2 linked regions of the Daphnia pulex genome follow. The protein of the gene in region 2 interacts with the protein of the main gene of each other region in a pairwise test. Links are inferred from orthologs where the notes say so. Each region holds a gene or a part of one and is shown on either strand. Other genes may lie near its edges.

Region 1 (3,493 bases), on a different chromosome or scaffold from region 2:
ATTTGCATAATCACAATATCTTCAAGTGTATGTGCGTAATTATATCTTTTCTCTTTTTATTCGGGGATCCTATTAAGTCAGCTTGGAAACTTTAAATCTTCCTCCTGTCAATTCCTTCTTGTCAGACCAGTCTTGTTTTCTCCATTTAGATTTACGCCATAAACAAAAAAAAGGATCTCGCGCGGCTTTCTCCCATTTCACTGCTGGCATATACCAGCCATAAAAAGCCTTTTCTTTATATTTATTCTATTTGAAAAACTTTGATAAAAATAAAGTTATGCATCATTTTCAAAGAGCTTTAAATTACCCAACTTATTACGCATTTGCCAAGTTAAAGTTCATCATTTAAATGAATTCACAGAAAGTAGAAACGTTTTAGAAATGATGTGCGGATCTAATGGCGGCGAAATGAGGTATTAATGTATCAACACGAACCCACAATACGTCCTACTCTTTAACAAGACCATTTATCACGCTTTCTTCTTCTTTGTACGTACTGCGCACTGACGCTAACTAGGTTAAGCAACTCGGTATTCACGGCTGTTTTTACGGATGAGAGGGACGCTCGGGTTGCTTGACCGCATTAAGTAAAGTGCGCTGGTATAACAGGCTACCGCACAACCGAGTGTAAACGACACTTTGATGAGGAAATTACTTGTCAACGCGCAAAACCCACCTCTGCAGCTGTTGTCGATTGTTCGGTGAACATAAAGGTCTATAAAAAAACGACAGAGAAACACGTTGAGATATGTGAATGAAGCGAAACAGGAGGACGGATGCCTTCTGTCTAAAACGTACATTTCAAGTGGCTTTCGTGAATCGTATAGCGTGATGGAATTCGCCAGGAAATATTTAATAATCAAACAGTTGTTGTTCCATAAGTTGATAAAACTCGTCTTCTCAGTTATTGCGGGCTCTGACGCACAAAGGGGAGATTGATATGATTGGTTAAAACATGTGAAACTATTTCGTCTCTATTGCGTTCTGTTTGTTTTGCTATCGATCTGCAGGGCAACTGCATATAATATGGCAAGTTCGCCACAAAGAAAACCGCTTACTTAGACGTGTTCATATTGCTTTTATTGTAAAAAGAAAAGCTCTCAAAAACAAATAGAAGACATCTTCGTTATTTATTACATTTTTTTTTTCAGATTTCCATAATATTACTTTCACGTGCACGACTTTCTTCATGAGCATTGCAACATGTTTTTGCTTGACATCTTTTTCGAAAATCCGAGAACCCATCAGGATTCATTATAATTTTCTAGTAAGTATCGTAATAATAAGATAGAAACCCGAAGAAAATTTCTCTTTAAGCGCGTGAATTTACACAAACACATTTTATGGAGCAAGCTAACAATTATGAAAGCCGTGTAGGCCTTACTTAATAGGGAATATAATAGCCCTTTCACTTTCCCAGTGGTCAATGCACCTGGGATAAAGACGATTTTTCTTGAAGTAATAATGCCGTAGTATTGAAGTAATAAAAACGAAATGTGCCATAAAGAAATTGCTTGTTAAATCCAGTAAAATAAAAATCCTAAAAAGAATAGTAATTTGAATAATGGCAACCAGCATATCATTATCGATTGAAATAATCGATAAATAGGCGTCGTCTGCTACGTAGGGGTTGTCAAGAAAAACATCATGGCCTCAGTAGCAGTTTCTAAAGATTCTCTTGAATCGGTAAGAAAATGATTTGACTTAAGAATTTATAGCTTAACGTGTTGCCAATTTCTAGTAGTTAAAGTAACTGAAATTATTTTAGGACTCTGACATTCACATTACATTGGAAGACCAACAGAAAATCAACCGGTTTGCACGACACAATGCAAAATGGGAGGAGCTCAGGGATGATCTGAAAAATAAAAAGGTGAAATTCTTTCTATTGCATGCTTCTTTTCGTAATGTGTGTGAAGTCTTCAAAATTATTATGTGTCATAAATGTGCTGGCAGAAATATTTTCGCATTCTGCTCATGATTCACGTTGAAACTTACAATTCTGCATTGCTACTCGTTTTCTCTATGCTTTGTTCAGGGAGATCTTCAAAACTTGGAGGATGCTTCAGATGATTTACTCTTGGTTGATGATGAATCAGCTCCAATTCCTTTCGTTGTAGGTGAAGTGTTTGTTCATTTCAACATGGAAGAGGCAAAGGTGATTTTCTTTTTTCCTCTTCTGTCAATTGTGCATCGCTGTTAAAGTACTGCTTATCGCTAATTGTTTGACTTATCACAGGAGAAACTTGAAGAAGCAAAAGACAAAGTGAAAAAAGATATTGAAGCCATCGAAGCTGAATGCACAAACATCAAGACTTTGATGAGCGATCTGAAGACGCAATTGTACGCCAAATTCGGTAATTCTATCAACCTAGAAGCCGAAGAGGAATAAAGAAAACGTCCAAAATGCTTTCTCCACTATAATAATGAAGAACAATACAAAAAAGAAAAAAACAGTCTTTGATAGCACTGACAGAAACAAATTGTCTCTCAAGCCACAAAGAGAAAAGTAAACAACAAAGCTAAAGAAAGTATTTTTAGCTAGTTTCCCTAACACTAAAAATATCTGCGAAGAAAATGTAACGCTTGACTTGCACCTCCGCAACGACGCCTCTGCATCTGGCTACCACTCGGTACCTCTTTAGTTTCGTAGAGGCCATTCACCGGACGGTTTTCCAGCCTTTCTCTCTCAGTCTCGAGCTCCACGACCTCGTAAAATAATCGATTGTTATTGCTTATGTATTCGTCCGTGTTAACCTCATTTGGACACGACCTGCAGAGAGGACTATCGTTGATACTACCCAATAGGTTCAGAAGAATACCAATCGGAAATTGTCACTTGACTGACCCAGTGACTTAGTTTTCTCGGCTGTCCATCACATGGCCGGTTTTTCATCATCCGGATCGTGCACGTTCATAAAGTCCTCCCTTCCCGTTATTGTGCTCATTACATCCGTTCGACGGTGGGTTTGCGAAGCTTGTCACGTCATGACCGTGCCGCCGCTCACTTTTCCCCTGGTCGAGAGGAAAACCCGCATCGTCCCCCCTCCGGCTGCAGATGGTAGACACGAAGTTTTTAAGCAAACAAACAAAAGAAACGAATGAATCTACAGGACAGGACGGAATATTCCTCTGCTTCTAAAAGCAATTGAAGAAAAAAGAATGAGAAGGAAAAACTTGTAACTAGGCCAAGGTTCGTTGGTACACGTTTTTGTTATAAGCTATTTTCAACTTGGGAATCATGAGAAACTTTTAGGGTACCTTCACGTTATTTCAAAAAGAGGGGGGGGGAACGACGATGCGTATGGCACTTTTGCGTTCACTTTCTTTCTTCTAGAGTTAAAAAAAAGAAGAGCCCCCAGATGCCTTTATTGCTTTGTTTTCCGAGCTGCGATGTACACAACAGACAGGAAAAGGTGTGGATACTCTACACCATATCTCTCATCTTTCTGTCATCATCTCCAAGGGTAAGTGAAGTGTTTTTAATTTCAGA
Region 2 (3,687 bases):
AAAATTTTTAATACTCGAAATTCGTTATAATTCAATATACGTACATTTGATGCAAAATGTTTATAAAAATCCAATTTTTTTAGCATGATCGATTTTTTGCAAAATCGATCCAGCAGTTAAAATTAGCCGTTAAGTTATCGGTTAAAGTGTCTTTAACTCTTTCGATTTCCCTTTGAAATCACTACTGACGTGTTGGTATTTCGTACCTACTTCGAAAGAATTTCATTGATTTTGTTTTAAATCATACCTTCTAAACAACCGTTTTACGATTTTCAATACAAACTGATCAAGAAATGGAAAGCAAACGTGACGAATTTCGTCGTTATTTAGAGAAGGCAGGAGTCATGGACGCTCTGACAAAAGTTTTGGTTGGACTCTATGAAGAGCCAGAGAAACCAAATGATGCATTGATGTAACAATGAATTTGATTACTTACACATATAACACTTATTACAATACAGATTTTTCCTCACATAATTAGGTACCTAAAAACCCACCTGAGTGTTGCCCATCCCGATCAGGCTGAACTGGAGTCCATGAGGAATGAATTGCATTTTGCTCGGAGACAAGCTGAGATGTTGAAGTGAGTCGCTATTTAATATTACACAATGATTACAGCCATAGAATACCGAACACATTTTCTATATTAGGGAGGAGAATCAAAGGCTGTCTGCAGAACTTCAAAAGTACTTGGCTGTAGAAAGTTTGAGTAAGGAGGAACCTTCTGAACAAAGTACACCTGATCATGATGAACAGATAAATTGAGGCCACTTCCATCTGTCAAATCACTACCTTCTGTGCCTTGACATTTAACTCATTTATTATGTATTTCATGTTCATTATTAAATAAAAAACTTGATTCTGAAGCAAAATTTTTTATTGTGAACAATTGCAGTAGTTTCCTTTCATGCTAGCTGTAAAGAATTATTATTTAGCATTCAGGGCTTGTCTTCTCTTGACATCCCAATTGTAAAGCCTAGCCATGTTCACTTCAGTTGTTGTCATCTGATCCCTGTATAGATTTTAAAAAACATTTAAAGTTACACTGTTAGGGAAAGCCAAGCCAAACAGAGTAAACTTACCTAAGGAAGTCCAGATCATGATGTACTTGTGCAAGATTCTTCATAGCTGTTTCATGATTTTTTTCCAACAAAGCCTTAGCATCTTCTAAAGTGTATTCCAACATCACATTAGCCTGAAAAATAAACAGAATATTAGTTTGCAATCTTGTATAGTTTAAATGGTATAATTTACCCCTAGCCACAAGCAGACTTTATCTGTGGGTTCAATAACTGCCCTAGAGTACAGAAGGTCTGAGAGTAAAAAGTGAGTTTCAATTTGTTCGTTAGTTTTCCTTTTTGCTTCCAGCACTTGAATCATGTCAAGTGATTTTTGGATGTCTGGAATTTGACTCTTCAACTTCTTTTTGCGTGCCAGAAGGTTAAGCTCCATGAATTTATATTTTCCTGTAACAAAGATTGATAAAATTAACAAGCATGGCAAAGATACATTATGGCTTAATTAAATAACATACCATGTTGTTCGTCTAGTTGCCGCAAAATTGACTCCACCCCTTCACGATCCTTCATGTAAGCGTCTACATCTTCCTGTCACCGGTATAAACTGATATTGCACTGAACGGAAAGAAATTTGACATGGTGTTTTCACAAACGATATTTACCACAAAGGTAGCTTCGGGAATGCCAGCAAAAGACTTTTTTCCGGATAATTTCAGACTATCTTCGATAGGTTCACATGCTGCGGTCGAGGCCATTTTTGGAGATTTTGCTTTTAGAAGACAGAAAAAGGTTTTTTTAGTCTGCAATGTAAAAAGCCGATTTTGTACGGATTGTGTATTATTCACCATAGATGGCGCTGGTGAACCTGTAGAACCAAAAAGAAAACAACTTTTTGAAAGTTTTTGACGTGAGACATGCAAAAACAAAATTAGCTTTTTAATTCGAAATTGTCGATGGATACATTTATTTGAGGTCAGTTCTTATCATCTACTATAGCTGAGCATTAGGAAACTAAACAAATTTGGTTATTAAAGACAAAATGGCTCAACCACCACCAGATCCAGTCCACATTCTGCACAATCCAAGTGGACCAGTCACTGCATTAGCTGCACTAAGACTAAAAGAGGATGGTGAATACAATCTAGTCAGTGGATCAGAGATTGGATTCATAACTATTTGGAATTTAAATGTAGGCTTAAATTGATTTGCTTAAAATTGATTGTCTAATGACGAAACACCTTTTAAATTCAGGTTTATCGACCAACCAAGACCTGGCAAGCTCACAGTGCCACAATTGTGTGGATTGGGGCTTTGGATGACAGACCTGGTTACATAATTTCACATGGAAGAAATGAATCTCTCATCATCTGGAATGCAGAAGGAATCTCAGTTCATCGGATGCTAGTCACTCATGAAGGATTCTGCAAGTGTGACCTTTGGGCCAACATCATAGCCATCCCTGCCAAGAAGAATTCAGTTGAAATCTTCAACATCAGTCAGGAAACGACGTCGCTGGACCGTACCGGCACGCTAACGATCGACGACGACGAAGGAGCATTAATGGCCATTAAATTGTTGGGGAAACAGACGACTGTAGTAACCGCCTATGAAAGTGGATGCATTTGCATCTGGAACGAGAACGTTGTACTCCATCGAACAAGGGTCAAGAGCATGCCGACTTGCTTGGGGCATCATGCTCAGCGTAATGAACTCCTATTAGGAACTTCATGCGAAACATTATACATCTTCAACGTCGACGACCTAACCGAGCTCAAGTCTGTCGTGCTGACCAATCCCGGACTGAACGTCATGGCGCTCCGCCTATCCGACCCGCGTCTCTACGCAACAGCCGGCTGGGACCATCGCATTCGCTTCTTCAGTGCCCGAACTCATAAAAAGCTCTGCGTCCTTCAACTTCACGACGGCCCTGTCAACAGCCTGGTCTTCATCATGGGTCAAAGCGGCGGCGGCGTCGGCGGCTTGTTGGCCGCCGGAGGTAGCGACTCTCTGATATCCCTCTGGGATCTGTACAGCCAGGCAGGCCAGCCAACAACAGTGACGTCGGTTTGAACCAAAACCCCCAAAACCCCTTGAAAGGCAAGTTCCTGGCTTCCTCGTACACTTCCTTTGTATTCTAATCAACTGTGTGACTCTGCATTGATGCCGCAAGCTTTTCAAAAAAGGGAATATATAAAAGCGAGGGGTTGTTCTCTGCTCTCTATCGTCGTTTCTCCTCAAATACATGAAGAAATCAGAAAAGAATTTTATACACACATATATTTATAAAGGTTGGAAATTATCAAGCGAGCCGAAAAAAGATGACGGTCGTTGGGACGGAGTGTTACCATGGCGACGGCACGCCCTCGCACGCTCCTTGAAAACTTCTTGAAACACAACAATTGAAAATGTGAAGAGTCTGCGCCAGAAGAGAGAAAGATGGAGCGCATATATGTTTTGACAAGACTTTTCTCTCCTCTTTTAGAATTGAATATCCCTTTTCCTGTATAGACAGTAAGATGTTGGGTGTAAGTTGCGGATGTGTAGAGACAATTGTATTATTATTATTCATTTGTTGTTGTTTTTTCCCTAGATTGTATTGCAGCGATACGTGGGTGGGGTGTTGTATTATAATTTATGTACAAGTGTAAAAAGGGTGGGGGATGTTGTT

The links. The genes of interacting proteins can lie anywhere in the genome.
Region 1: the proteins of prefoldin subunit 3-like (region 2) and prefoldin subunit 4-like interact in binary tests that used the Homo sapiens proteins (3 or more experiments, as listed by UniProt). The link is inferred for Daphnia pulex from reciprocal best matches to the Homo sapiens genes VBP1 and PFDN4.

Annotation. Positions count from the first base shown.
Region 1 is NC_060022.1:3,651,671-3,655,163, forward strand, and holds prefoldin subunit 4-like, read left to right. Parts: upstream 1-1,533; 5' UTR 1,534-1,647; coding exon 1,648-1,686; intron 1,687-1,768; coding exon 1,769-1,873; intron 1,874-2,038; coding exon 2,039-2,188; intron 2,189-2,239; coding exon 2,240-2,392; downstream 2,393-3,493. UniProt on the Homo sapiens protein: Binds specifically to cytosolic chaperonin (c-CPN) and transfers target proteins to it. Binds to nascent polypeptide chain and promotes folding in an environment in which there are many competing pathways for nonnative proteins.
Region 2 is NC_060028.1:10,584,316-10,588,002, reverse strand, and holds prefoldin subunit 3-like, read right to left. Parts: upstream 1,845-3,687; 5' UTR 1,775-1,844; coding exon 1,682-1,774; intron 1,608-1,681; coding exon 1,535-1,607; intron 1,467-1,534; coding exon 1,255-1,466; intron 1,196-1,254; coding exon 1,083-1,195; intron 1,013-1,082; coding exon 928-1,012; 3' UTR 860-927; downstream 1-859. Other genes in the region: c-Myc-binding protein-like, read left to right, coding at 294-412, 482-583, 651-765; guanine nucleotide-binding protein subunit beta-like protein 1, read left to right, coding at 2,059-2,208, 2,271-3,089. UniProt on the Homo sapiens protein: Binds specifically to cytosolic chaperonin (c-CPN) and transfers target proteins to it. Binds to nascent polypeptide chain and promotes folding in an environment in which there are many competing pathways for nonnative proteins.